4 linked regions of the Arabidopsis thaliana genome follow. The protein of the gene in region 3 interacts with the protein of the main gene of each other region in a pairwise test. Each region holds a gene or a part of one and is shown on either strand. Other genes may lie near its edges.

Evidence for each region.
Region 1: the proteins of NF-YC7 (region 3) and NF-YB3 interact in a two-hybrid assay, tested with the Arabidopsis thaliana proteins (3 studies listed by BioGRID).
Region 2: the proteins of NF-YC7 (region 3) and NF-YB5 interact in a two-hybrid assay, tested with the Arabidopsis thaliana proteins (3 studies listed by BioGRID).
Region 4: the proteins of NF-YC7 (region 3) and NF-YB1 interact in binary tests that used the Arabidopsis thaliana proteins (3 or more experiments, as listed by UniProt).

What each region holds. Positions count from the first base shown.
Region 1 is NC_003075.7:8,342,040-8,350,674, forward strand, and holds NF-YB3 (nuclear factor Y, subunit B3), read left to right. Parts: upstream 1-2,309; 5' UTR 2,310-2,623; coding exon 2,624-3,109; 3' UTR 3,110-3,285; downstream 3,286-8,635. Other genes in the region: AT4G14520 (DNA-directed RNA polymerase II-like protein), read left to right, coding at 432-1,034; AT4G14530 (agamous-like MADS-box protein), read right to left, coding at 1,437-1,844; IAA14 (indole-3-acetic acid inducible 14), read right to left, coding at 6,540-6,657, 6,970-7,105, 7,243-7,472, 7,664-7,884. UniProt on the Arabidopsis thaliana protein: Component of the NF-Y/HAP transcription factor complex. The NF-Y complex stimulates the transcription of various genes by recognizing and binding to a CCAAT motif in promoters.
Region 2 is NC_003071.7:19,579,460-19,587,975, forward strand, and holds NF-YB5 (nuclear factor Y, subunit B5), read right to left. Parts: upstream 4,160-8,516; 5' UTR 3,962-4,159; coding exon 3,479-3,961; 3' UTR 3,199-3,478; downstream 1-3,198. Other genes in the region: ABCC4 (multidrug resistance-associated protein 4), read left to right, coding at 1-243, 340-403, 501-740, 824-924. UniProt on the Arabidopsis thaliana protein: Component of the NF-Y/HAP transcription factor complex. The NF-Y complex stimulates the transcription of various genes by recognizing and binding to a CCAAT motif in promoters.
Region 3 is NC_003076.8:20,552,972-20,557,415, forward strand, and holds NF-YC7 (nuclear factor Y, subunit C7), read right to left. Parts: upstream 2,788-4,444; coding exon 2,149-2,787; downstream 1-2,148. UniProt on the Arabidopsis thaliana protein: Stimulates the transcription of various genes by recognizing and binding to a CCAAT motif in promoters.
Region 4 is NC_003071.7:16,234,794-16,244,506, reverse strand, and holds NF-YB1 (nuclear factor Y, subunit B1), read right to left. Parts: upstream 6,016-9,713; 5' UTR 5,922-6,015; intron 5,830-5,921; 5' UTR 5,823-5,829; coding exon 5,623-5,822; intron 4,927-5,622; coding exon 4,793-4,926; coding exon of another isoform or gene 4,665-4,792; exon of another isoform or gene 4,528-4,664; coding exon 4,457-4,527; intron 4,369-4,456; coding exon 4,288-4,368; coding exon of another isoform or gene 4,282-4,287; exon of another isoform or gene 4,200-4,281; coding exon 4,191-4,199; 3' UTR 4,147-4,190; exon of another isoform or gene 3,933-4,146; 3' UTR 3,726-3,932; downstream 1-3,725. Other genes in the region: AT2G38905 (Low temperature and salt responsive protein family), read left to right, coding at 35-115, 206-289; AT2G38900 (Serine protease inhibitor, potato inhibitor I-type family protein), read right to left, coding at 614-807, 1,148-1,220; AT2G38890 (uncharacterized protein), read right to left, coding at 1,859-1,996, 2,093-2,250, 2,348-2,507, 2,588-2,811, 2,965-3,111, 3,201-3,302, 3,382-3,412; AT2G38870 (Serine protease inhibitor, potato inhibitor I-type family protein), read left to right, coding at 7,457-7,475, 7,768-7,961; YLS5 (Class I glutamine amidotransferase-like superfamily protein), read left to right, coding at 9,300-9,479, 9,566-9,713. UniProt on the Arabidopsis thaliana protein: Component of the NF-Y/HAP transcription factor complex. The NF-Y complex stimulates the transcription of various genes by recognizing and binding to a CCAAT motif in promoters.

The sequences.
Region 1 (8,635 bases), on a different chromosome or scaffold from region 3:
CTTCAGGTTGTGTGATTTTCTCAGAAATTATTGACCTCTAGTCTTGTTACTGCAGTTTCAGTACCTTTTTTGTTTGTTTGATGTAAAATTAGCAGTTTCAGTTTTGAGTACTTTGCTCTTAATTTTGTCTCTTGGTTGATTCCTTTTCTCTGATGTAGAATTGAGTGGGCTGATCAGTAACTAAGTTCTTCTTATGCAGGTACCATATAAGGTTCAATGCTATATAACTTCAATCTATTTAGCCGTCAAAACATTTTATATCTGCTTCGTTGCTTTAAACGTTATGTTTTCTCTATGACCTATGACCTGCGTTTATACTGCTTTATAATCTTTATTAAGGCTTGATGGTTATCATTTCTGGTTGCGGATTTTATGATTCATCCTTCAACTTAGAATCTCCTGTGTTTTTTTCAGGTAACAGATAAACACGAATGTTTTCAGAAGTAGAAATGGCTCGAGACGTGGCTATATGTGCCAAACACTTGAATGGCCAATCGCCGCACCAACCGATTCTATGCAGACTACTCCAAGATCTAATACACGAGAAAGCGTGCAGGGAACACGGATTCTATCTCGGCATCACCGCTCTAAAAAGCATCGGTAACAACAAGAACAACAACATCGACAACGAAAACAATCATCAAGCAAAAATCCTCACATTCCCGGTGTCCTTCACATGCCGCACATTCTTGCCTGCAAGAGGAGATATCTTGCAAGGGACTGTAAAAAAAGTGTTGTGGAACGGAGCTTTTATCAGGTCAGGACCACTCAGATACGCATACCTCTCACTCTTGAAAATGCCACATTATCATTATGTCCACTCACCATTGTCGGAGGACGAGAAACCGCATTTTCAGAAAGACGACCTCTCAAAGATTGCTGTTGGAGTTGTTGTGCGGTTTCAGGTGTTGGCTGTGCGGTTTAAAGAGAGACCACACAAGAGAAGAAACGACTATTATGTTCTTGCAACTTTGGAAGGCAATGGTTCATTTGGTCCCATCTCTCTTACAGGGTCAGATGAGCCATACATGTAACCCAAACAAGGCACCAAAAGTTAAAAGTCTTTAGATACTTTTTTGCTTTTAGGTTAACCTCAGATTCGTTGGGGTTGTTTCGTGTTAAACTGGATCGACAAGAAATATTTGTAAACAAAGTTGACAGAACCAATTACATTCTATTAATTTCAATTGGTCAATACCGACAGAGTTACATATTGATATAATACTAATACATACAAAAGCATATAAGAAAATTAGTTGCTGAGCTATCTTCAAACTGCATCAATGGTGTGGTAACTCATTGAAAAGGATCATCTTTCATCTAAACCTCTGTGAATCAGACCACAGATTTGGATTTTTCATCACCATCGAGACATCTTCCATCTTCGAATTCATCAAAAGACGAGTCTCAGCAGGCTCTGGATACTCTTGAGTGCTCTAGTAATCGCCATCGATCAAACCCTCGAAATCTATGAGTTGATCAAAATCTAGGAATTGATCAAGATCTATCTCTTGATCTTCCAAGTTTCCTGTAGGTTTGTCGTTACTCTCAAAAATCGCCAAGATCTGATCATCGAATACAACCATCTCCGTTTCTTCTTTGAGACGATCATCATCAGGAACGCCAAAAGTTGCAGAACTTAACTGAAGATTTAGGGTTTCGTGTGAAACAAGATTCTTAATCTTGATGTCGTTGTTAATCTTGACGTCCTCTTGATGATCTCTTCGATAATTATTCACAGATTCCAATTCCTTCAGATCTCTCAACATCGTAGACATCGACTCAATCGCTTTTCTCAACTCCTCCGAATCCTCCGATTTAGCAAGACTCTCGTCTTCCACCATAACTCTAACCCTAGATTCTCTTTACGAACAAGACCCTGATCCTTGAGGAAAGCGGAAACAACAGAATCAACAGAGGAATGGCCGAAGGAGTAGAAGGAGACGTGAGAGTTGGAAGAACAAGGAGTCGTCAAGATCGCAACCTGTGAATCGGAGGAGAGAAGACATAATAGCTCCGCGGCTTTACTGTAAAGACCGGTACGACGTTTGGAGAAACAAACGGCTCGTGACTCTTTCTTCTGAATCTTCTCAATCGAAATTCTTCTCTTTAGTCCTCCCATTCTGCTTTCTTTGATTTCACAGAGATTTTGAGGGACACTACCTCTCTCTCTTTATAGATAGTGTATGTAACAAGAAACCTAGAAACAATTGTATATATAAAAATGTCGGTGGTTTTATAGGAGGGATCTAGGCCCGTATCAGGCCCATTGCAAGAGGAAATTCAAAATTTTGTCTTCTTTTGGCCCAAATCAATTTAATAAAATCTGAATTAGGGGTTTTGTTTTTTGATTTCATGATATAAACGACAAAAACCAAAAGTACATATATAACCAGAACTCAAGAGTCTTTTATAATAAAGGCAAACCGAAAAAACAGAACCGGTTATCAAGTCTCTCTCTTCCTTTTCTATCCAAATAACATCCACTTGTAATAATCTTATCGACAAACAATCGACCTATAACTACCCACGTGTCATCACGATACGATTATTATCCTCTCTGATCCAACGGACCCAAAACATCTATCTCTCTTTCTCGACCTTTTGTCTCCTCGATCTAAAGATGGCGGATTCGGACAACGATTCAGGAGGACACAAAGACGGTGGAAATGCTTCGACACGTGAGCAAGATAGGTTTCTACCGATCGCTAACGTTAGCAGGATCATGAAGAAAGCACTTCCTGCGAACGCAAAAATCTCTAAGGATGCTAAAGAAACGGTTCAAGAGTGTGTATCGGAATTCATAAGTTTCATCACCGGTGAGGCTTCTGACAAGTGTCAGAGAGAGAAGAGGAAGACAATCAACGGTGACGATCTTCTTTGGGCGATGACTACGCTAGGGTTTGAGGACTACGTGGAGCCTCTCAAGGTTTATCTGCAAAAGTATAGGGAGGTGGAAGGAGAGAAGACTACTACGGCAGGGAGACAAGGCGATAAGGAAGGTGGAGGAGGAGGCGGTGGAGCTGGAAGTGGAAGTGGAGGAGCTCCGATGTACGGTGGTGGCATGGTGACTACGATGGGACATCAATTTTCCCATCATTTTTCTTAATTGTAAAATGATAAAAGCAAATTTTCATTTTTATTAATTAATGATATATATATATATATGTTTAACTTTTAGTATAATGTTTACAGAATTTTTTTTTTAAAACTAGGTTCAACCCACTAACGTAACAAAATAAATATTAAATTTATGATTCGTAAGGTTAGGGTGTTACTTTTTTCAAAAAAAAAGAATAAAAGAAGGTTAGGGTGTTTATTCGTGAAAGATGAAAGTAACAAAAGTAAACTAGGATATCGAAGTTTATGGTTGAATTAGGAGGAAAAATCAAATGAGAGAGACATACATTTTTTTTAGAGTAAAATGTTTCCTAAAAAATTGTAGTGGGAATATAATTATAGCATCAAGCTAAAAAGAGTCATTGAAAAACTTTTTCTACTTTGATGCAGGGAACATGAGATGTAATCAAGGGCATATCTAAAACGTAACCTTTGATCTTTGATCTTTGATCTTTTTTTTTTTTTTTTTTTTTTTTGAAATTCAGGAGGTTCTGGGCCGAAGCCCGTAATTCCTCCAGGCCCGAAACCACAGCATGTAATATTAGTTTTTCTTTTAAAGTGTTGTGATGCGAAAATTTCATATTTGAGTCCAGGTTTTTAAGAGCTTGGGTTTTCCATTAGTCCATGTTATGCCACAAATATTCAAAGATTTTTTCTTACAAGCAATACTCAAATATCAAAACTAAGTTTCTATCAAAAAACTAAACAAAACATCAGCCAGGTAAAATCAGGAAAAAATAAAGAATTATCAACAAATACCATGACTACAATAACCAAACTGCTTTCCATTATTGTTTTTGTCAAGCAAATTGTATTCAACATTGAATTTCAAAACAGAGAAGATCATACGGTGTAGAATTAAAAACAAGATTGAAACGATACATTATAAATAACGACAAAGGCTTGAAAATTTATCAGATAGGAAGTTCCGACGAACCTAAATGAAAGTCTCCATGACAGACTCCATATTGAAGACTAATTTCAAAAGATTAAAGAGAAACTCATGATAATAATAGCTCGTACAGCTAGTGCTTCTTCCATCGAAGTAGAGCTTTCAAGAAATCACTCCAAAAAGGAGTTGTATAGGAAGGATCTCTCCAAAACATTCCAAAGCAATACAATAGGAGAAGCTTTTACCCTTTTTGGGTCGTGAAGGACCATGCTTTGTGCTCTGTTCTCACAACATTGAGAACTTTGTAGTAGAGCGAAGCTGGAAAAGAGTTGTGGCGTTGTGGATGCATGTGGTACTCTTATGCCAAACCTCGTAAACACACGCATGACATGCTTGAAGCAGTGCAATGGAGATGTCATTGCTTGTAGAAGTTGTTGATGACAGGCGGATGGTGCTGGAATCATTCAATAGGTAGGGTTGTAGGCAACAACTTTACCATAATTTTGTTTCAGATTTGAGCTGAAAATGAATAATTTAAGTGCAAGTGGTGAATTCCTAGATTCTCCCTCAATGCCACATTAAAGCAAGTTTGTTCAACATGACATCTCAAAAAAAATCCTATCAATAGTAGGGTTGAGGTTAAAAATAAAGAGTTATAAACTGCGAAAGCATGTTTAGGAATTCTCACCTTATGCCATACCAAAACCAACTAAAGAACTAATGGTTTAGATATTCTGATGTTATGCCAAGCATTTAGGGAGGAGAATAATTCGGAATCATTTCATCAATTATCCAAACTATCATTCATTGTAGGAGTAACTAGAATTCTTCAGTTCATTAATGGGAAATTAATAATAATTTTTAATTTATTGTGTCAAATAACTAACTTTCTGTAAAATATTAAAAAAGAAGGAAAAATGAGAGATTTTCCAAACACTTCAAAAATCACTTTTGATTTAATAAAAAATTTTCTGTCTCTTAAAATAAAAGCTCTATGTTCTCTATAAAAAAGCTTTCTCCGCCGCTGCCTAAGATTACTTGTTTCAGTGGCTTTTTTCAGCATCGGAAGCGAGGTTTCTTTACTTTCTTTCTTTAGTTTTGATTTCTTTTTGTTTTGGTATGATCTGAATCATATTTTCTTCCAATGGTTTAAGATCTAAATTCTCATATCTAGATCAATAAAGTCTAAATCCTTTCATCTACGGGATTTGCTGCTTGTTTTTTACTCCTTCATCTACAGCTTTAGTTCTGGTCGTTCCAACCATGCCAGAGGTAGATCTATTCGATTCTTCAACGCCTTAGATGCATACTTCTCACCATTGAAGATCTCGATCTCCTTCCTTTCTTTATGAGATTTTTTTCCTTTGGGTCTTCGGGTGTTGGTTTGTCTCACCGCCGTTTACGGTAAGAAGAATATTGATTTTATTTTCTTTGAATGGATCTCTAATCTCAGATCTATATTTTGTTTTAATTTGGATTTAGAATTTGTATTAGATTTTTGAGTTCTTAAGTGATAAGTTTGGGAAGTTTTGGATCAGTTTTAATATGTTTTTTTTATTCTGGAATTTTTCCTTTTTGTATATGTATTTGTCTCTAGAAAATCCGTTTTCTCGCCGGCTTAACTTCTGAACTGGTTATTTTTCTTACCCGGCATATGTATTTTACCCCTTATGATATTTTTTATAAATGAAATCTTAATTTTTACTGAAAAAAAAGAAACAGAGAGATTTTCCAAAAAGGAAAGAAAATTTTTATGCTTCTAGTGGTGAAGGGCACATTAGCATGAAGAGGATGGACTGAATTTGAAAGACCCATGAATATGCACATGCTCTTGTTCCCTACGCCTCTCATGGGTCCTGAATTTAATAACGTATTCCCACGTAACTAGGAAAGAAAAAAGAAACTTAAAACCATGAATATTTGTTTTGTAGTTTTAAAATTGGTTTTGTAATGAAGATTTTAGTTCGTTTCAAAATCTTTTTGGAAACCATTTTAGTCAAAAAATATACCAACAGTTTTCTTAGTTTTCTTAAGAAATTGTTATGTGAAATGTTTTTAGATACATCAAAAATAGTTACAAATTTCAAATATAATCTGTAAAGCCAATAAATGAGAAAATAAAGAGGAAAAGAATAATAAAGTAGGAAAAGTGGAGATAAATTATTTAACGTAAATTTACCTATCATAAATTATATATAGTATTAGCATTTTAAATTTTAAATAGCAAAAATACGAACTCTATAGATTTACTATCACAATTACATATTAAAAAATGATTTCTACTAATTAAGAGATGAAAACAAAAACACAGACTAATTTCAAAAAAAAAAAAAAAGACATATTTAAAGTTATTTTTTTCGTAAACAATTATATTTTCCTATATACTTCCAATATTTTAAATTAAAAACACATGATCATAACAATACCAAAAAAAAAAAATCAATGCATATTGTCCTCTTTTTTTTTTGTTCATGATCTGTTCTTGAACTTCTCCATTGCTCTTGGAGCTGAAAAAAAAACACGAGCATTATTGGAAAAACAGAAAAGAGCCACTTATAGAAACGAACAGAAAAGAAAACTTACCAAGTCCAATTGCTTCGGATCCTTTCATTATGCGCAAACGTTTGCATGACTCGACAAACATCCTGAAATCGGGATTTGGGTTGGTGACTAAATTTAGAAATCTATTGAAAGTGAAAGAATATGTGCCAGCTACAAATGAGGTAACATATTGATGAGTTAGTATTTATATATAAACATCTTCTCTGTCTCTGAGTTCTGTCCCATGCCAACCAAAAGATGGCTGTGCGTGTTTATAACACATGGATATTGATTATCATTTTGTGTATTTTTTTGATAAGTAATATCAATAATAATGCTTTAGAGAATATTGTTTTTTTTGTTTAGAGAATAATTTTGGTCATAATAATGAAAGCAAGAAGAATGAGGAAACTCACGGCCAGGGGACATCACCAACGAGCATCCAGTCACCATCTTTGTCCTCGTAGCTTGGAACATACTCAGAACTGTTCAACAGATCCATCACTTTACTCTCGTTCATGAAATCTATCATCCCTTGTGCTCCATAACTCCCTTAATTAATCAAAATCCCAAAACTTATCATATTAATTAGTCGTATATGGAAAAAACTGTATCGTTAAAAAGAAAAAATTGTAAGTAAACACAAAAATAATAATGATAATTCGACTTATATGTCTGAAAATGCATACCCATGGTAAAGGAGCTGAACATTTTGGCCAAGGCATCAGAGAGATCCTTGTAGCTGGTGTACATCTTGAGGTCAACCTTCCGAAGATAAGGAGCTCCATCCATGGAAACCTTCACAAAGGCGACGGTTCCTCCACCACTACTCATTGCCTCCTCTGCTTCGCCGCTCTTCTGATTAGCCATAACATTTTTCCGGTAGTTCCTCACCGGTGGCCAACCCACCACTTGTGCTCTGCATAGAATATAACAACACACACACACATTCAATAACGTTATTACTTATGCATCCTTACATCTTTCATATATATGTATTTTAAGAACTTTTATATCAACTATTAGTCTTTTTATCTCAAAAAAAAAAAAAAAAAGTCTTCCCTTTTAAGGAAGGTCTTCTTCTTAAGGAATTGTGTAAATAGAACTTACTTAGCAGGAGGCTTAGAAGGGTCTTTAAGGAAGGTCTTCTCCTTGGGAGCTCCATTAGTGTTGAGATCCACATGTCCTTGTTTGTTAGATTGAAGATTAAGTTTGAGATCAACGGTCTCGGAGAAGCCTCTCTTGTTCCCAACACCCGACTTGGCCGGACTTTCAACGGTTTCAGTGCCTCCGGGGAGGCCAAGACAAAGCTCCGTCTCCTTAAGGTTCATATCTCTTCTTGCTGTCTATATATGTCTTAAATCAGAATATGTTTTCTCTCTCTCTCGATAACTCTTGTTGGGGGTGAAGTTTGATAAGAGGGGAACAAGAATGAGGTAAGGAGATAGAGTCGATAATATAAGGGACGAAGAAAGAGACTATAGTACTATACTATAGTGGTAGAAAAAAAACGGTTTAAACCCGTGATTAGTCGTCTGACTTTTCTAATTCTTTAACTATTAAAATACAAAGGTCTATTGTGTATCTGCTGTAGTGCATGGAATCCCTACATTTTCTTGCAATGTGGGTTCTCAACACGTGGCCTTCTGCTAAACGTTGGTAGGTTGTTTTAGTAAATCTCACTCTTTCATGTCAATAACCTGAAAAGTATAGGTGATGAGTGATGACCGTTGATTGTTGAATGATATTGTTACATCTCTTAGGTTTTGAAAATACGAACATACGTTTGCCCAAAATATGTTAAGTAAATAAAAATGAAAATATATTAAGATTCCGAGTAAATAAAAATGATATTATAAAAACATGAGTACCTCTTTCAACATGTCTAAGTAATGTCTTTATTGATCACTTCTATGATTAATGTACTTTTTTAATTGCCTACCAATTTGTTAGACGTTGCCTCCATTGGTCAACTCTTCACGTATCACATCACATGTATACAGAAATTGGGCGGTAAAAATTCCGTGAATCGTATTTGGTCAACATTATTATATGATTTAATCATATAATTATATTTCTTAA
Region 2 (8,516 bases), on a different chromosome or scaffold from region 3:
GAGAAGGTTGGTGTGGTTGGACGGACGGGAAGCGGGAAATCGACATTGATCCAAGTCTTGTTCAGGCTTGTAGAACCATCAGGAGGGAAGATAATCATAGACGGGATTGATATAAGCACTCTAGGGCTACATGATCTCAGGTCAAGATTCGGAATCATTCCGCAAGAACCTGTCCTCTTTGAAGGAACCGTGAGAAGCAACATCGACCCGACAGAGCAATACTCTGACGAAGAAATCTGGAAGGTGATGATAAAACATGTTTTGCCTCTTGATCTTCTAAAGCTAAAAACCATTTGTTACATATAACAACATCTGTTTTTCGTTTTTTCTGTTTATCAGAGCCTGGAACGGTGTCAACTCAAGGATGTTGTAGCTACCAAGCCTGAGAAGCTCGATTCTTTGGGTGAGTATTGATCTGTAACGATGGAGTTTGATCTATATATATATCGTAGAAATCTCTGTATCTATATATATGAAGTATTAATACTTGATTGGAACAGTGGTTGATAATGGGGAGAACTGGAGCGTAGGGCAGAGGCAGCTTCTATGCTTAGGCAGGGTTATGTTGAAACGCAGCAGACTTCTCTTCCTAGACGAAGCAACTGCATCCGTTGATTCCCAAACCGACGCCGTGATTCAGAAGATCATCAGAGAAGACTTTGCGTCGTGCACCATCATCAGCATCGCCCACCGGATTCCTACAGTGATGGACGGCGATCGAGTCCTTGTCATTGATGCTGGTAAGACTTAAAAAAGAAACAAACTTGTCATGTTTTCAGTTTTACAGAAATACAGAGTTGATGAATTATGGAATTTTGAACAGGGAAAGCGAAAGAGTTCGATAGCCCGGCTCGCTTGCTGGAGAGGCCGTCTCTGTTTGCGGCGCTGGTGCAAGAGTACGCTCTCCGATCTGCCGGAATATGAATCTTTTACGCCGGCGGGGACTGAAAATATTTTAAAACCTTCTTCAAATGAGATTTGTATCAAAGAAAATTCCTATAATCTCACATGTTTTAGATTCAAAAACGACATCGTAATTTTAGTGCAGCAAGCAACACAGTAAATTTTTAATTCGCTCACTATACTTCAAACAACTCTCTAATAACAATCCAGTAATCTACCAACACGTGAATTTTTCTCTATTCGTTTCTATTTGCAAGATATTTTAAAATTTATATGTTTTTAACATGAAAAGCATCAATTAATTAGTTTTTTAAAGTTAACTAATAATAAAAGAATAGTAAAAATACAGCATATATTTGAGGCAAGGGAAATAAAAAAATTACATTTCAGTTACACTTTTTAAATAACTTCAAAGAAAATGAAATAAAAAATAAATAATTATAAACATCTTATGAAAATAGACTAATAGAGTGGAGCAGTGTATTTTATTATATTGAATATTTTGTATCAAATACATTTTTTGATGGATGCACATGATCTATATAACTTCAGAATTTGCGTGAAACGGTGATATGCGTGAAATTGGAATCTTTGGTTTCTTCAAGGTATAAGTTAGTCGTTTTTGAGAATTACTATGTAGCCTATGATTGGTCGCTCTTCTTCAAACCTTTTTTTGTAGTACTTACTAAGAAAACAATTGCTACATTTTATAATATTATAGAGAAAATTTAACACAGTTAATTGATGATCAACACTAGTGACACAACTAATTCACCGAGATTTTCAGCATGTTTTGGTTCTCGGTTTTTTTTATACCAGAAATCACTTCCAAGACCTTGCATATTTGGATTAACACGACGTCACTAGACAGTAATACACTATTGAACTCCTCACTAACCAGCTTCTCGCTAACACACACGAAAACTTGAGATCAACACCATCGTGCGGAATCATCCACTGCAAACAACATCAAAGGAGATGAAAAGGACCACCAGATACAAATTCAGCTTCATGTTGACTCCTCTTTGGAGGAATCATATATAGCCGCTTTTGGTTCATTATGTTCTTTTCATATGCTATTTTTATATCTTAATTACAGCCCTAATTAACATTCAATTATGACCTGTGTGTAAAAGCCTCATTATGATTAATATATATTTATATTCTTTAACAAAAAGAATCCGTTGAAAACACATTCTCTTTCTCTATCTCATTAGCCAAAATATTTGGCTCCCTCTAAACAGCCAGTTAAATCTTAAATAACATGATTTCTTTTTATGCATCATAGTCCTGTTTTACAACGTCGATATATACCACCTCTATGATTTATTATAGGCCAACACATTAACAACAATATTTAAATTAAGATATATCTCTTTTTAAACTTAAGATTCTATCTCAACTTAACATTTTTTTATTTGGTCAAACATATCAACCAATACATAACATCTTTTGAGAAGGCGAAAATATTTGCTTGATATCAACAGCTGAAATGGTATTAACAAAAAAAAAAAAAAAAGAGTATAATGGTCAAATTGAAATTTGGAGTAAAAAGTATACGTTATTAGCGTGAGTCAGACATGTATAACTTTCTTTATGTGGAAGGTCCAGGGATCTTGTGTTAGTAAATAACATGTGAGAACTGATCTGGATTTATGGACCACTCGCTCTTAACTAATCAATTTAGCCCATTTTTATTTCTTAGTACTATATACTGTTTAGAAAGTGAATCACGTCGAAAATAGAATTAATCTATATCGACATAAGGTCTAAATATCAATTAGGCTTTAAAGAAAACAATATCGAAGTAGTAAATTTTATTTTTCTATATGATGTGTACGGAATAGCTAGCATTTTAGTGTGGATAAATGAATGCGAATAATCTATATGCAAATGCCATAATCTAAAAATATATCTAAATACTGAAAGTCGACTAAGTTTCGCTTTTTGTCGAAAGAAATCAATTGATTTAACTGAATAAGAATTCCACAAACTACGAAATTGCAAAGTTGATTTCTTATATATAGAGGGTTAAGTAGTCTAGATCAGAGGAAAGGGACATGGTAGTATATATCCTCACTGTCGAAATTAATCTACAAAGTTGATGATATATTAGTTCATCTTCATGATTGACGGTTTTAAAAGTTAGATGGTAAACAGTTAAAAACCGGTTTGGTTGGTTGTGGCAGGACTTGTGTTGTTGTATGATGCTCGATTTAATTTTATTTAATTATACCAGTCGAAAATTAATTAAATCTGAATAAATTGTTTAAAAAGCATTAATGAAGCAACCAAAAGAAAATCCCGAAAATGGTTCATAATATACACATCGATCGATCTCCACTCCAATATATGTAAATAAATAAAAATATAGAAAATAACAAAATCAGCTGGAAGAATTAACACAGATTTGTTCAGTACCTCACACCACATACATGTTATATCATCATATACATAAAATTTATTTATATATGTAGAACAATATATGAGAAGATAGAAAAAGATAGCTGGTCCTAAAGAGGAAGATGATGACATGGAGATTAATCAAGGAAAATCAAAAAGCGATGGAAGAATTTTAATTATCTGGCGAGGATTTAGGTCCTCCTTTGCCGTGATGATTAGGTTTCTCACCTTCGAGAACTCGGTAACGATGTAAGTACTTCTTGAGCTGGGCGGCGTAATCATCAAACCCTAGATTAGCCATAGCCCAACAGATATCGTCTCCATTAACGGTCTTTCGCTTCTCCTTGTGGCATTTATCGGATGCTTCTCCCGTGACGAAGCTAATGAACTCGGACACACATTCTTGCATAGTCTCTTTGGCTTCTTTAGAGACCTTTGCGTTTGCTGGGAGGATGTTCTTCATGATCCTTCCTACGTTTGCTATCGGAAGTAGCCTGTCTTGTTCTTTTACCATCATGCTTTCTTCTTGCTGTTGATCCTCCACCACCACCACTAACCCATCATGTTCATGTTGATGATTAGATGAGCTGCTCCCGAAGTTGTAATTCTGGTATCGAGGGATTGGATTTTGGAACGAATGATAATTCCCCGCCATCAGAATCTTATAATTAAAGCAGAGGATCTATAAATCTTGTTTGGTGAGGGGTTCGTTTCAGTATGATTCACAACAACGAATGATGATATAGAACGAAGATATGTAATTTGCCAAACTATATGGCACACAGAAAAAGGAGAGGTTTTAACATAAATGTGTTTATTATGTATACATCTAAAAAAATATTCGTTTTGACAGAGAGATTTGTGTAGTTAAATTAGCTTTATATATAAGTAGAAAGGCAAGAGAGCTAATTAAGGAGTATCTATCTATGTTTGTCTGGTCAGAGAATGGTGGTGACGTGTCATACAAACCAATGAGAGTGGTCTAGGTCACAGGGGAGACAATGTGGCAGGTCTAGCTAATTTCTCTCTCTCTCAATTTTCTTCTAATTATTTTCTCCTAAACCCTTTTGGTTGAGTTAAAACAATTAAAATGTAATCATAGAATAAGATGTGTTGCAAACAAAATAATGTTGAAATGTGTTAAGAATATATAACACATATATCATTCCTTTAGTAGTGAATTATCTCGCCTTTGGGAATGAATATGATATGATATCCTCAACGTACGTGAAGGCGAAAATAGTTTGGGGTTGATGACGTACTTGATGTTACCCTAAAAAGGAAGTTTTGGTCCTCCTGCTTAAGTCAATACCGTCTATCTGTGGATTGACTCCACACTCCAGTTAGTCTGGAAACTCTCCTCAACCAAAAATTATTCAATTATTCCACATTCCTCCTTAAGAGCTAGTCACTTTAATAAACGATAATATCGAACTCGTGGACCATATAAAAGCACGTCTTGTGGTCTATAATTAGTAGTCTGCTTGCCAAAATTGAAGAGGCTATAAATAATATTTGGTTGAATTATATTTTCAACTACTTATTAATAATGTTGTTTTAAAAAAAAAATCGTTTTTTAACTAAAATATTTTATATTTTCGAACTGAGGAAATACATAATTTTTTGTTTCACCACACTTTTGATATATATATTTTGTCAACACATTAGGTTTTTCTTATCCATCTAGAACTCAATCTCGATGATATAACCTACTTTAATCAAACTACCATTTAAATTCTATGAACTTTCAAATCAAAACTAGTTGGATTAATAATATATATATATATATATATATATATATTTCCTCTTATATGTGATTTTATGTTTTTACTTACTTTTTACCAGTATTTAATTATTAGACGAAATTTAGTTTATATCCGCAAAACAGTGATTTAGTTAGTTAACTAGCTATTTATATTTTAAACTTTAATTTATTTTGATTGGCTATACAGCATTATGTAAATTCTGCATTATATTGAGACGAAAACATTTACAAGCTTTGTCGCCTTACTATGGATGAGAATAATATGAGCTGTTTAGCAAAACATTCCCATTTATTATTTAAAGAAGTAATGTAAAGATAGATTTATAAATTACATAGAGGATTTTACAAGATTTTGGAGAGCATGGTGTTCTAGAAGTATGATATGTTGGCTATTATTTTATGTTATTTGTTTTCCCGAAAAACCTAAGTCATTAGTTAAATATTACAGCTACATATACATATATGTAAAATCATTAACAAAGTGAGGACAAGTGTCGACCGATGGTGGATCGGACCACCTTGAAACGGATAAACAAATGTTGAACGCCTTTAGATATTAATTAATTATTGAACGATGCATGATGACGTTCATAGCATTTCTATATTATAAACAGTAATTATTAGTATTACTTGCTCATTAACTTGGTTCTCTACCTCCTAATCAAAAGATGAAATTGACTCGTCATAAATGGTTTCAAACGGTTTAAGGTTGTAATAATGAAACTAGCTAGGTCATATGGTTGCATATGGAAGTTTATTTTTCGAATCCTACACCAAAAGTATGTTTAGTAGAAAAACTAATGATGCGCCTTACTTAGTTACTTAGATAAGAATTACTACTAATGAAAAACTGTGTGTATATAATATGTGTATTTGCTGGAATTTCAGGGAGAAAACATATAAAGCATTAATTAGTTGTTGAAACCATGAGAACGTGAATATACAAATCTATATAGTACAAAATTTAAGATATTAAATCCTAAAGTTGGTCGATAAAATAACACCTTTGTGAAATGTCCTCTCAAGTATGGCTTGATAGAAAAGGAAACGACTAGTGATTTTTTAAAGTTGTTATTAAGGAATATATTTTCGATTCTCCAATGTCTAATAAAATAAATTTAATTAAATTGAATTAAATCGCAAACGCATATATTTATTCATATCGTCGAATAAAAAAGCTGGTATATATAGTCATGCAATTATAGTAATCTAATTAACTAAGATCAGCATAAGCAATATATATATATATATATATATATATATATATATATATATATATATATATATTTGATGGCATTTTTATTGCCCACTTGTAAAGATCGAGTATAGTGAATCTATTAAGCGTGCGAGTAGCTTTGTGCGTGGTCCATGCTGAATTAAACATTGTTTCAGTATGTTTAATACAAATTGTTAGTCTGTCTTTAATTAGTCTTGTCTTTTTTCTTTTCTTTTCTTTTTGTTGTTATAAGTTTTCTCTCGTTATTCGCCAAGAATCCAAACTATATATACACATTTCAACTGGCGAGATTGTTTATAGTTACTTGTGAAAAATGTTGACTTGACCCAGACCCGGGAATGTATTTGGAGTTTGATCACTGGGCTTTCGCATATGGGCCAGTTGATCGCCATGGCCTGTTTCCCTCGGTCTCCACTACGGTTCATTATCCCTAAGTAGCACAATATGCTTGGACAGGAAAATAAAAAAGTAGGAGCATTGTGATGCTTTTTGTGAAACAATTGGGTCATTATTTGGGCTAAGTGAAGAAGTATTAATTAATTAATTAAAAAAAAAGTTTGGGCTGTGTTGTGTATATGACGCGAATGATGAGAGGCAGCATTGGGTCATTATTTGACTTCGAGGGTGGTAATTCGCTTAGCCTCAATTTTGGGCTTGAAATGAAAATAAGCCTTTGAAGTTCAATTATTTTATTCTAGGTACCCAAACAAACAAACAACTATATAAAGAAGATTATTTGGCTTGTACGGAGTTGTTAGACCGTCGTCTTTATTTTTTTACTTTTTCTTATTTTAGACACTTGTGTTATTTATATATATCATGACACCTTAAATAATAGAAGAAAAATAAAAGAAACAGTAATTATCTAAACCAGTTTTAGAGATAAAAGTTCATTCTTGGGTGGTCAACGCAACATGCATTGGTTTAAATTGCGAGTCAAAATTTGACAAAAAGTTTTTAGAGTTAGAATAGTTAAATAAAATTCTCAAGTATTCTAAAAATTAACATGAAAAAGAAGATAAAAATTAGTAAGAGAAAGTATAAATAGGAAGTAATTAAACACGTACGGAGGCTAAGTGAAGAAGAAGTATTAATTAATTAATTAAAAAAAAAGTTTCAGTTGCCACGAAAGCGAAAACATAGTAAAATGACGGAAACAGGGTAAAGGAAGACGAAGAGACAGTTGTAAAGACAAGGTTAATTCAGGGATTTTCCATTTATCAGAGAGGCCCATCTAATCTATCTATCTCATTCTCTCTAGTAGAGAAGAACGCGTGTTCTCACGCTCTTATTACATTTTTCATTTCTTTTAAGGAATTTATTAACCCCCAAAAAACAAAAAAAAGCGTAAGTAAGATCCATCGTATTCATATGCAGCAAAACACACACATTTACATACATATATATATATATATGTTGTGATTCTCATTTTTATTTTTTATTTTTGGGGTCGCTCTTTGTTGAGAAAGTCTGCGACAGAGAGAGGAGAAAGAATTTGGATGTGTTGATGCTAAAGCTGTGTGAGTTTTACGAGAGCAGAGGTAAATCTGAAAGCTCTTTCCTTTCGACCACGTCTTCCTCTTCTTCCTCCTCTTCGTCTCCGTCTTTTAACGCGACTTGTCTTTCTTTTTTCTTTCTTTCTTTTTATATAATATTGCTTTATAAGTTGTAATTTGTTTTGCGCTATCGGTCTCGGCGTTTCTTCTTCTTCTTCTTGTTGTTCGTATCGTTACCTCTTCCTTCACACGCGAAGTTGACATCTAGATTCAATACATAGATTGGCTCTGCTTTTTGATTTTATTGCTCCACGTTGAATGTTCCGACTTCTTCTTTCTTCTTCTTCTGTGGAGGTTTGTTGCCAAAGTCTTCCTATGTGACTATGTCTTGTCTTGTATGCATACTACTACTAGCCTCGGCTCTTATGTTCAACAATTACTCCTTTCTTTGTTTTCGTAGCCATACGAATCATGTATTTTTCATGAATTGGCGTGCCTTCCCTGGGTTTTTGTTGTTTTCTTATGAATTGGGTCAGTTTCTGTCTTCCCTAGCTTTTAAAGCTGGTTTCATTATGGTTTCTAATAAAGAAAGAAAAACGGCAGCTTTAACTTGGGTTTCGGAATCGTTTCATTCAATGTTGGCTCTCTTCTTCTTCGTGTCTTGTGACTTTGGAATTTCATCTGCATTCTCTTTCAATCTTAGGGTTTTTCT
Region 3 (4,444 bases):
GTTACAACTTCCTCAACTAAATGTTTTGGTTACTCCTCAACTTCTATTCAACGATGTAGTAGATAATTTATCTATTTGTAAAGAAACTTAAGTCTCCAGCATTTGAAACTAACAGAAAGAGTGTGATTTTATTCAGATCATCAAAGCAATGATCGCCATATGCATATTCATCTACTAATACTACTAGATGGTCATGTTTCTGACAATAGAATAAATTTATACTGTATCTGTAGGTCTTGAATGATTGTTTGAAAAAATTTCAATTGTTGAACAATATTGTTTTTCTAGGATTTTATGTCTCTTCCTCCTTTATTGCCTCCTTATCTTAACATAGAGAATACCTCAGTTTTTCCTCATTCTCTTTGAGATATGAATTGAGTGTTGCATATTCTTTTGAATTTTATCCATTCTGAAAATCTAGAAGCATCCAAAATTCGTTTCTTCAAATCTTCAAAGTGTTTATCCTTTTTTAAGGAATACATATTGTTTGTTCTACATATTTTATGCCTAACAACTTGCCTTCACTCTCCATTTTCACAATAAAAATCATAACATTTTTTTTTTTGAATATATTTGGAAATTCAAGTCTTTAGGTCCTAACATTACACACTTTAAATTCAAAAACATAACTTGAAAAGTAATTCAAATTCTCACGAAAGCGGTTAGAAATCTTAAATTACAAACCACACTTCAGTTTTTGCCGTTGTTTCCTCCATACTCAAAATCTTTAGTTGGTTTTTTTAGAAACTCATAAAACGAATACATTTGAAGTTTTAAATAAGAACTTTTTCTCTCTAAATTAACGGTAACTATGGTACTCCCATTGTTTAAAAAAATATGATGTTTAAACACAAAGTTTAAATAATTAATTTATCTTTTTATATATTTTTTCTAAATTAAAAACATAATTTAATATTTAGTTAATTAAAGTGAGTTTGGCCAATGAAATTCGTTACTGCATAATATATATATAGTCATAAAAGTATATAAATTCTACGCTTGCATAGAAATTTGAATTATTTGTCTAAAACATCTTATGTTAAGAATCAAAATAATTTGGCTAAAACAACTTATAATATAAAACCGAGAAAGTAGTGTTTTGGAGTTTTTATTTATGTTTTCTGGCTACTCTTTAATGTAGCCATTTAAAGTAAAAAGAAAATGAAACCAAGTATATATATAAGAGTGAGGACCCTTTTCATAAACAGAAGGATTTATTGCTTCTAAAAATTAAATTGTCTAGATTGTTTTCTATCTTTTCATAAGAAGAAAGATTTATTGCTTAAAAAAAAAGTAAATATTCAAAGATTTTTTTTTATCTAATGATTACGAAGTGAAAATATTTGGTTTTATTATGTGGCTCCTAATTGGTCGTTACGAACAATGTTTGTTTTACGAACACTTGTTATCCACAACAATTTTCAAGGTGTTCCACAACTATATTTTCAATAGATCTTTTACACATTAGATGTTCATATCTTGAAAACGAAATATACTATGTGAGAAACAACTCATGCCAAATTGAGAAAACTGGAATAATATATCAGCGGTTTGCAAGTAAAATTTCGTTGCATAATAAAACCGGAGTATAACTTTCACGCGAAAATCCATTTTAAAATCAAAATGCTGGAAAATTTACGAACATAGATTCGGGATTCAAAAAGATCTCTTACTAGATCCTAAGATCATGATGCCTACATATTCACAACGTATACAAAATTAATACCATGAGCCATGGGGATTTTCTACTTTCATAAAGGATAACTAGAAGATGGAGCTAGTAGTATATGTTTTTTATGGTAATTGACATTTATGCCTAGTTCATTGTGTTTTTTCGTAATGAACTGCGAATATTTTGGTGATTCTTTGGCATAAACTAATCTAAAGCAAAGAAGAAAATAAGAGTTAACTAAAATTCCATTGTCTTCCATTTGCTTTCGTTAATGCCATGTGTTTTGGTGTTGTTGATGTTATGTTTAGTCTTCTATGTGATATTTCACATGGAAGACTACACATAACACCAACAACAACAGAACACATGACATTAACGAAAGCAAAACATAATAACAACAACAACAACAAACATGACTCGATAGAGATACAAATTCTCACAAAAGCATTACAACCCTAAAACCCAATCAACACTTTTCAATTACCGCCGCTGCTTCCTCCAATTTCCCCAGCTGCCTCCTCTCCGTCACCAGGCACCGCCGGCCACTCCTGCATCTGTGGCGGTGACGCGTACACACCATTACAATCAAACACCGGATATCCTATCACCGTTCCCGGAGGAAGTACTTCACCGTCCGGATGTAGCACGGGATCATCGGTAACGACGGAAGGGTCTCTTGGGACAACGTCGCCAAGGAAGGTAAATTTGAAACTACGAGTCGTTGCGGCGGAGATATCGGATCTCGTGAGCGTATCGGATCTCTTGAGAGTTTGGCGACCGCCCTCCACGGTATGAAGCCACGATCGCATTGTGAGATCAAGAATGAGCATCTCACAGGCCTTCGATATAAGGACCGGAGCCTCTGCAGTGACCATGTTCACTTCCGGGTTGGACTTCATGATTTTCTTTATCCTGGTTAGTGGAAACGCATGATGCTTAACATCAGTTGCGTTTCCCATCTGCGCAATCCAATAATTCCGCATCTGCGGTGAGTACGGCAGCGGCAGTGAATATGACGGCAACGGCATTGATTGATAATACAATGGTGGCGGCGGCAGTTGGGAAGACGATGGTTGCGGCAGGTAGTGGTTGTTGTTGCCGTTGTTCTCTTCCATTTTGATCTTTACGTTTTTCTTGTTCACTTTCTAGGCTAGGGTTTCCATATTTAAAGGCTGATTAAGTGGGCTACGAAATCAGCCCAACTATTTTCTCAAAAATAAAATTTATTTTTTATTAATATTTTGTTTTGTGTTATACAATATTTACTAATATATGTGAAATCCCAAAATACAAAACCTCACTTTCTATTCATTATAAATTTTTGTTAACCAATACTTTTTGGATTTTATAAATTTTAAAACTTATAAAATTTAGATAAGGTGAAAGCTATTAGTCAACTATAGCTTTAGATAAGGTGGATTTTATACTAACCAATTTAGGGAAGTATGTGAAAGCTAGCATATGAGGAATGTCGTCAATGGTTTTGTGCCCAAGATCTGATTAGTCAAAGAAGAAAACTATAAGTGGTGCCTTGGAGTGGTAATTAGTGGGAAGATACCAAACTGAGAATTTTCTAATGCGCAATGGAAAGTATGTGGAGTTTCCGCATAGATAAGGTGACTTTGGCTTCGAGTGAAAAAGCTATAGTTGTGTACTTAAAATCCAATGCTTGGCCTGCTTCTTTGTGTTATCATTCTTAGGAGATTGCAAATATTGTCAGCATTTCAAAGATGCAAATATGTATGTCAATTTGTCTTGTGCATGAGACCGATCTAATCTGAAGCATTAATTTAAAGGTAGCAAAGGAACATGTTTCATCATTCAAAGATATCTCAATGCAGATAACAATTCCAAATCAATGAAAACACAAGTGGTGGAAAGAGATATTTGAATAGATGGTTTTCGCGCCAAAGTTCGTTAAAATATCAAGCTTAAAATTTAAACATCCAAAGATATTGTTTATGTAAAGAATATGTTTCTCTTAACCTTAGATATTATTTTTAAAGGAAATAATTACTACTTTTAGGGCCGGTCCAAACATAATTTGCCGTCACCTGTTAAAAAGAAATTACAAAAGTTAGGAAATTAGGATCGAACTGGTCACCTAAAGCGGATATCCATCAACTTTTCGGAAATAAACTTTTTATGAAATGATGCGCCTATATATTTATATAGAGAGTTCTTTGCCTAAAACCTTTGTTTCATGAGATTTTTAGGCTTTAATCGAAAGTCGAACCTGATTACTTGAACAAACGAATCATGCAAAATCTAGAAAAAACAATGATGAGTTCAACATTTGGTGTGAAATTTAGTTAGCTGGATAAAAGCAATCAAACCAGATTATTTTTTATTGATATGGAGTTATTGAAAACATTTATGCATAGTCCTTGTGATGATAATCAGCCCCATCCCAAATAAAATTAGAGATGTAAGGTTACCCAATTTGTTTTTGCTATAAAAAGCTTTATTTAAAAAACAAAATCAGGCTTATTATTTTTAAAACAAAAAATGGGGTTTTGAACTATAATTTTGGGCTAATTATAAGTTGTTTTATAAAATATGGGTTTTTTATATATCAATTTTACTTCAAAAATAAAAAAAGTCTTGACCCTCACACCTTACGACTCACCCATTGGGTCGAGGTTGATGATAACAAGCTCGGCCCAAATAGGATGGGCAAAAGGGCAGTAGCCCATGATTCCATGATTTTTTCTGAATTATTTTTTAAAAAGGCCATATTTTATAAAAAAATTAATTTGACTGAAAATATCT
Region 4 (9,713 bases), on a different chromosome or scaffold from region 3:
GTTTCTGTTTCTCTTCTTCTCCAAAACATCAAAAATGGGATCAGAAACTTTCTTGGAAATTATTCTGGCGATTCTTCTACCTCCCGTCGGCGTTTTCCTTCGATATGGTTGTGGGGTAAGCACTAAATTACATCTTTACTTAGTTTTATGATTAATGAATGAATCGTTAATTGATTATTGATAATTAATGTGTTAATGAATGCAGGTAGAGTTCTGGATCTGTCTCTTGTTGACGATACTGGGTTACATCCCTGGGATCATCTATGCTATCTACGTTCTTGTCGGATGATGACCAAATTCTCTTGTAAATTTTTCATAATCTTTATTTAGCCTTTGTTGTTCTTTTCTTATCGCTCTTTGTAATAAACAACTCTTGCGTTTTCGCTAAATAAAATACTATTTTTGCTTAGTTCCTAAATCACCAGGGCTGCCAAAATATACACCACATCATCCATTCAAATGCGTTATATGATCGGACACCAGAATCATTCAAGCAAACAATAGATGTTACATTATGACCAACCAACCAACTATGCATGCATTATATATAGTTTCATTTATTCATAGTAAGGCGCCTACATGGCTATAGCATAATGGTGGTCCATATACATGTCTAGCCGGCGGTTGGGTTTCTGACAACGATACGGATTTCGTCAACCCAAACCCTAACGCGGTAGCAACTGAGGTCTTCAGTCACATAATTTCCATCCGAAACCACGACAACGTTGAGGCTCGAGTTCTCTCCTTTTATCACCGAAGCCGCATAGTCTCCATTTGTTCCTAAAAGCTCCGGCCATGAGTTCTTCCCTGTGTGTGGTCAAATCAACCACATCAGATTGGTAAATCATTTGCATTTGGTAAAACAGTAGGTCCAACGGTTATTATGGAATCAAACTATATATCCCTACTAATACTATATGGCTCTCCAAATATCATATATTGGGGATTTGTTGTGTAATCCATTGTTATTCAAACAATAGATGAAACATAAATCTGTGTCAATCGATAAACAATGCATGCTCCAAATTATAATTAATTTCCTCAAGAATGTGCTATGTGAAACTGACACATGAGAATTAAATAATAGTAAACGATTTGACGTGAGCGAGAAGAGAAAAGATTAAAGAAAATCGATAAAGGGCGGTACCAATATCAAAGAATGAAAAGTAGAAATTGAGGATGAAAGACGAACCAATATAACTACACCACTCGGTTGCCATTTTTCTTCCTCTTTTGTTTATGTATATTGCGATGATGTGATTGTTTGCTATGATTGTCCTCAGGAATTTGAGTCCAATTTATACAAATACTAGGATGTATGCAGATGTCTATGGGTTTGTATAACACAGAGTCAAGTTAGTTTCATTGTGTTGTCCTTTGCATTAGCCATTAGGTGTACCATATTTTCTTTGTTAGATAACACGTGCATGGTGTAAAACGGAGCGGTTCTTCAACTTTACTATTATTTAGTAGAACATTAACTTACTTTAAAGGAAAAAAGGATTTATACTAAAGCTTACTTAATAAATACTCTTACGAATTAATATATATGGAGGTGCAATCTCAAATAACAAGTTATAAGGTATTTTGCAAACTCAACACAAAATTATGGCTTTTTTTATAACAGTTCGTAACTCAAAATATATCTGATCGATCCGATGATCCGACCAAAAACTCATTCGGTTAGTTTTCTGCTCCGAAATGTAGAACATTCTTTTTTTCGGGCTATTTCTTAAAGCAACAAAGGAAAAAAAAGGCAGCTACTACAACCAAAAGAAAAGAAGACAGTTGACTTATCCAACTCAACATGCAAACGATGCCTTGTAACGCACCCAAGACATATATATCATTGCCCGTTTCACTTTCGTGTTTTGCGTTGTCCCAGAATGCTGCGGTTTTCTGGTGTAGAAGAAGTCTCAAGTTTGGATTTGTGTCTTCTTCTTCTGTTTGCTTCAAGAGCATTTGGTTCTCTGTTTTCTTTCTCTCCGTTCTCCTGCTGTAACAAAAGTTTGTTTTTTCTTCATCATCTCAGGAATCTTACATTACAAGATATTTGCTAGGTTCAATAAAACGAATTTCTTAGGAAGCATACCGAGTCGAAAAATCCCATCTTTGGAAGTGGTAACCTCAGACCAGAGTAGGATGATGTCAAGTCCTTGACTGCGTAACTTGAATACGATGACCTTATGTTAGATTTCGATCCAGATTGTTCTTCAAAACCATGATTCTTGTGTTTTTCCTTATTCCTCTCTTCAAAATAAAACAAAGATGTGCAACTTTTAAAGATGTTTTGATTTTCTTCTCGTTTTGAAGAAAGAATAAGATGTATCATCAATCATGTCCTCACCGAGTTCACTTGCAACACATTTCTTCTCGCGTATAGCTTGACTAGGAGTCAAAGATTTGGAGATGGATGATAAAGAAAAAGAAGAAGAAGAAGAAGAAGACACTTTTGGTTGAGGAATGAGACTCAAAGGTTGAACTTTCTGTTTGTATCCTTTAGTCCTCTTGACAAACAAAACCAATTAATAAGTAAAATTTAGATGAAAGCAAATGATTGAAACAGTTTCTGAGGTTTTCCGTTTACCTTTATACCATCTGGTAACTTACGATGGGTCTCTTGAGTTACTGTCTGCTTCACATTCGGTGAATTACGTAAAGAGGCTCTCAGGTCGTGGAACAGATCAAACTCAATGCTGGCCACAGAAAATCTGCTTCCTTGAGTTGTCGTCGTATCAGCAGACTTACGAAGCTGCGTGTTACTGGTGAAACCATTGTTCACAAGACACAACTCCTCAGCATCAAGAACACCTTAGCATAAATATAGACAATGTCAGCCTTGAATATACAGAGTCAAAGCTAAATTATAAGGTTTGATTGTTATATATGAGAGGAATAGTGGAATAGTGTGAAATAATTGACTAATCAAGTAGGGTAAAGAACTTTGAAGTAAAAAGATGAGACCTGGATCGGTAAAAAAAGCATTGTCCCAAGCAAAACTTGGACGAGCATCGGTTTTCGAAGGAAGTGTGTGATTATGATTTACTTCAACTTCAATCTCATTCTCGTCAATCTTTAAGCTCCCAAACAATTCTTCAGGATCTAACACTCCTACAAACCAAAGTGGTAAAATCATTGGAATCATATAATTTAACATTTTGTTTCTACACAAAACCAATCTATAGGAAATAGGAAGAAACCAGGGTTGGTGGAAAAAGCAGTGTCCCAGGCCAAGCTTTTGCGATGGTTCCATTTGCTCTCTTTGTGTGCCATCGGCTGCACAAAGTCAATCTTTACTCTTGCTGCTGCACAAAGTATAATCAGTTTCTGAAGACTAAAGAGATTTTAGATAGGAGAGGAAACAGAGGAAGATGATTCTACTTGATGATGAACCAGCTTCTTGAAATTCCATAGCCTGTTCTTGATTTTGAAAAATAGAATTTTCAAATTGGAAAAACAACAGCCTTTATTAAGAGAATTTATGGAGAGACAAAATTTTGAAATTTGTAAGTTTTCGTGATTTAAGCATTTGATTACTCTCTCAAAGCTTTTCAATTCAAAGCAAAATTAATTGCTGCCTTTACTTTGTGATTTTGTAAGTGTAGTATTTGATACAGATCAACTGACTTAAAATGTAATTGTCTATACCCAAAACAAAGGTACTGTACAAATTTAATTTAAGGATTTTGTATTAAATGAGAATAAATTAGCTATGAAATTCCGAAAGTGAATCGAAAATAACAACAGGATGTGGACAAATTTTTCCTTCATTCAAGTGTTCTCAACATCTAACAGAGAAATCTTTAAATACAACCAACTAAACCGGAAACAATAAACCAAACGTTCAAACTAACATAACCGAAATTGAGAGTAAACCCGAAATAGTTGTCGATCAGCTCAACTATAAACAACTCACTGATCTCTAATTTCCCCTGCACCGTTTTAGAGAATTTCACGTTAGACAAACAATTTTGAAACTAGCCATAGTTCATTCACACAGCAAAATATAACATGATCAGCAAGTTTACAAGGCATGTCCTACTATCATCAGTTGTAACGAAGTGAAGATTGGATATGAACCTACATGCATATAGACTATGCTCTTCATTTGTGTACATGAGGCCGTGTGATAGAGAGAAGAATTACTTGATCATTTGGCGATTGTTCTTAATCACTACTTGCAACTTCTTTTACCAGCTCTGTGATTGAATCAAAATGATGAAGTCAGAGCTAAGTACAATATAGGCTGTATAGCATTGGTATCATCTATACTTGTCAAAATCATACCGGCATTTCTTCACCAGAAACACCGCCACCAGCATCTCTATTTGATCCATCTCCACTCTTTCCTGATCCCTTATTATCACCCTATCATAATTTCACAACAAAACGTAAGAAGCCAATGGGCAACACTGGAATGGAATATAAAGTAGAAATAAGTATGTGGTTTATTTACCTCCAACTGCATCAGCAGGTGGTGTGTCAGCAACCAATCCCAGGGAATGAAAAGAACCGAATTAGTCTCAACTTAATAAGAAACATTTTGATTTTATTATGTATGTTAACAACAAAAGCACAAAAGAGAGAGTAATAAATGTCTTTCAAAATTTACTAATATGCATCCTGACTGTTGGTCTAGATTTATCTTTCTTGCTTCAAAAATTCTACACAAGACGTATTGAAGGGATTGTAAAACTGCTATCATGGCAAGCTTCGATGTTACTCACAGCTACTAATCTCTTGACTAGGATATTAAGGATTTCAGAACACATGATTAGGGAGTCAAAGCAACATACCTCCCTGTACCTCGCTAGGTATATCTTTAGAGGTTCCAGGTAATCCTCAAATCCTAATGTTGCCATTGCCCACAACAAATCATCACCATTCACAGTTTTCCTTTTCTCTTTTTGACACTTATCACTGGCCCTGATTAGCAGAAACAGATACCAGTCAATTGGCCATTACAGTCAACGAATCAACATAAGACCAGCAAAAGAGACTTAAGCGCAACATCAGACAAGCTTATCTTGAACCAATAGATAAATCATAGTTTCATACATGATAACTTATTTCTTCCTAACAAAGAACGGGGGCATCTGATGTTATAAGAAACATAAAACTCATCAATCAGAGACCTAAAACGCATTCAACACAAGCAATTCCTTCATGATGAAAAACATATCTTTTGCCTTAAATGAACAAAAAGGAACAAAAACAAACAGATCCTAAAGATAAAAGAATCTTTGAAACATGATCAAGATACGGCTTTTATACCCTAAGATGGTTAAATGAAGAAAAAAATCTAACAATTTATTTGACAGAGTTAAGATATAACACAGTAGAAGCATGTGAAATAATCTGCAAAATGGTCTATAGGAAAGGAACTAGGTTAAGGTAAACCCATACCAAACAATGGTTGATTAACATTGTGACAAAAAAAAAAACATAATCTTTGCTCTATAAACTTCAAAAAACTCTCTGAGCTAAACTCAATCCATAGCTAGTTTAAGAAAACTATCTCTCACAAACCCAAAGTTCCAACAAATGATCAATTTTTTTCACCAAAGAGCAAAATATTTTCCAACAAATTCGATTGAAAGAAGAAAAATTGGGAATGCATACTCGCTAGTGATGAAGCTGATGAACTCAGAGACGCATTCCTGAACTGTATCCTTAGCATCTTTTCCAATCTTACCATTAGGAGGCAACGCTTTCTTCATGATCCTGCTGATATTAGCTATAGGAAGGTATCGATCCTGCTCCCTAACGGAACCGCCGCTTTCTCCGCCATCTCCAGCTGGGCTCGAAGGCGTATCCGCCATTTATACTCTACAGAAACAGAACAAACACTCAATTTGAAACCTAAACATGGTCGATGAAGCTAAAGTAAACAACAAAAAAGGAAATCGAAAATGGCGTACAGATTGGGGAAGATGGAAACCCTAGAACTTGGAATTGGGGATAGTCGTTTTAGTTTTAGGGCTTTAGAGAAATCGAATTTTTCTACGAAACGCTGCGACTGGTGTTTATATGATATGATTACACGTTTTTTTGTATTTGTTCTGTATTAGCTTTTGTAAAAGTTTTCAGACAAGGATTAATTTGGTAATTAATTAGACAATTTAAGAAAACTATATGAACAATTTGACTAAGGGTGACTTTTTCAATCTATTGTATAATAATTAGATGAGAATTTAAACATAAATTCATTTAATTTTTCAATGAATTATCTACGTAAATAAATCATAGAAAATTAAGATACTCTAATAACAATACCAACGACAATGTGGATTCAAAGTGCCTAAAGAACAAATTCTTTTACTTATGTAAAAAATCCTAAACTTTAAAGAACAAAAATTAAAATACAAAGATAAGTAATTAACATTTTATTGGGCTTCTAACTGGATTTGGTTCTATTTATTTGGGCCTACGTTTGAAAACCTCGGTCTTAAAGAATTTGTGTCCAGCTCCAGCACAAGGAGAGGCTTATAGACCATATGTCTTTTGGTGTCTGTTTCAATGGGCTTACATGTTTTGTTTTCAGGCGGCCTCGTCTTCTTGACACACACAAGTTTGTAACATTGGGCAGTGTGAAACATACACAAAACTAAACACTAATTAATTCTCAACCACAAATATTTAAGTGTGATGGTGACTTGGTCTCATATAATATGTGATTTTGTAATTTTGTTCGAAACCCGCATATAGAGTTGTTACCAATTAATACCTAAATCTTTATTCCGGATACGTGCTTTTACCAATCTTAAACAGACCAAAAGAAAAACTATGACTAAGTTGAACTGTATATACGTGTTTTAAACTGTATATACATATCAAATTGAATATTAACTATATGACAAGATTATCAAACGGGAACAAAAAAAAAACTATATGACTAAGTTGTGATGTTGTTTGTCAAATTTTATGTACGTCAACAATTCAACATAATTGACATTATCGTTGTTTGTGTGTGTGACAACAATTGATTATAGTATTTTTATACATGAATTTTATGAAGGACAGTTTGGTCATTTTTGTCGGCTAAGTGCCAAATTTGGCAGAAGCGTTTTTTTGCATGCAAACAGAATTCAGTCGACGCTAGAAATATTTTTCACCTTCGTTTGTTTTTCAAATTTCGACATTATCTTAGCCTTAGAAACCTTATCTTGTTCTCGATAAGGTTTGAACATCGTGATATAAATATGTACATTTCAAAGCTTTATAAAACAAAATCAGAAGTGTCAAAGCTTTTACCAAACAAATTAATAATGTCAACGAAGGGGCTATTAAAAGCTGGTTTCGTCAAAGTTTGACTTTTGAATCTGCAACCTCACCGACGACACCGACACCAAGACGTAACGTACGTATCCGATTCTATAAATGGGACTCAAATCTCTAAAGGTGAGCATACAAATACATCAGAAGACTACATAAATATATACAAGAGTGAAGAAAAATGTCGACCGAATGTCCTAGTAAGTTTTTGTATTTGTATTGTATAGTTCATAATTAAAGTTTTATATGTTTGTAAATAGTTAGCTAATGTTCAATTAGATATGGATTCAAGGCATTTAAAATTGTAATTCAATAGCTATAACATATATGATTACATTTTCTAAAGTCTGTTAGAAGGTTAATTATGTTACATATGGTCAATCCATGGTGATGTTTCTAGTTCTTTTGTTTTCATTTACTCAAATATGAGCTTCTTGATCTCCAAAATCCCAAACGTAAATGATTGACCGATCTAACGTAACGTGATCGCAGGGAAGAACTCGTGGCCGGAGCTTACGGGAACAAATGGTGACTATGCGGCCGTGGTGATAGAGAGAGAGAACCCCACCGTCAATGCTGCCGTGATTTTGGATGGGAGTCCGGTGACCGCAGACTTCAGGTGCGACCGGGTCAGAGTTTTTGTTGATGGAAACCGTATCGTCGTCAAAACCCCCAAATCCGGCTAGACTTGTATAATTTCTATATTCATAATGAAAAAGCTATAGACGAGTCGTGGTTGGTTAGTAATCAATCATGTAAAATAATAATCGTTTGCCTTCATAATTTCTGTGTTACTGATGCCTAAAGTTATGAATGAAAATAGTATCCTATATTTCAATTTGTAATGTTTCAATTTTTTTTTGTCAGCCAAATTTTTTGATTTAAAGTTCAAAAGAACAGATTGTGATAACGATTTCTAAGAGAAAAACACGTGTGGCAAGTGGCAACGTGTAGACAACAAATGGTTGAGGGGAGAAGGAGCACCCCGACCTAGTCCTCCGCCTTGAAGCTCTTCCAAGCAAGAATCAGGAAAACCAAAAATTAGCAAATAATGGATAATGGACCATTTCAAATAAATAAAATAATAAGTGAAGTACAAATTAATAAATTAAAGCAGGCCTGTTTTGCTGCCAAAATAAATAAATTAAAGCACTTATGATATATACAAATTTTAGAAAAAGTCATATGATTAACAAAATTTTACAAGAGTATTTTAAGCTAATAGACCGTTTAGTGACTAGTGTGATCATCTTGTAGAGGTCTATTACACGTGTTAGTGACTAGTGTGATCATCATACACATGAATTTTTCTACAAAATACACATGGATTTTTCTACAAAATACACATGGATTTTTCTACACATACACATCCCAGAAGCTCTCCTAAATCCAAGCTTTCCACAACCCAAGGGTCCCATGCATAGTCTAGGTTTATCGAGGCCCAAGCTTAGCTTATGCATACATGCTCCTTGTAGCCAATATGCTCTAGAATCCTGACTCCACAAACATGAGATTCATGTAGCTCAAGTTCTCCATAGTCCAGGCTTTGGTAAACATGGCTACATATCATTCTTTAGATTTTCTAGATTCTAGCTTCCGAGAGACCGTACTCTGAACGTTAACTCACGAGTCATGTGCATTAAATGAAATACATACACGACGTTTTGTATACATCACATTCAATCTACCAAAAGTATTATTTTACACCAACCAAATGGATGTAAAATAATACAAAATGGAACTATTCAACATAAGTATACCAATTCAATGTCCATTTCATAAGTATACCAATTCAGCCACATATAATAGTTAGCAGAAACTACATACCATTCAAAGTTATAGCTAGTTTATATATTTGTAATAAGGACTTTTCACCAGTTGGACTTTGAAGCCACCAAAAAAAGTAGGTGAAAGTGAGTTGGTGGGGGGATTCAAAAGTTCCACATGACAAATAGATAATCAGTATAAATAAGATTAGTTCTTCTTATATTGTCTTATTCAATGCACACAAACATTTACCCAAAATGGCATCGGCGGTTCAGAAATCAGCGTTGCTCTTATGTGGAGACTACATGGAAGCCTATGAAACGATTGTTCCTCTCTATGTTCTCCAATCGTTTGGGGTTAGCGTTCATTGCGTTTCACCCAACCGCAACGCCGGCGATCGCTGCGTTATGTCTGCCCACGATTTCTTGGGCCTCGAGGTTCCAATTTTCCCACTAAAACGAATTTCGAACTTTCTTTTTCTTTGTGATAATTCGCTTAATTTTGTTTTTCTGTTCTAAAAAAGCTATACACCGAGCTTGTCGTTGACCAGTTGACTTTAAACGCAAACTTCGATGACGTCACTCCGGAGAATTACGACGTCATCATCATCCCAGGAGGCCGATTCACGGAGCTTCTCAGCGCCGACGAGAAATGCGTTGACCTCGTGGCGC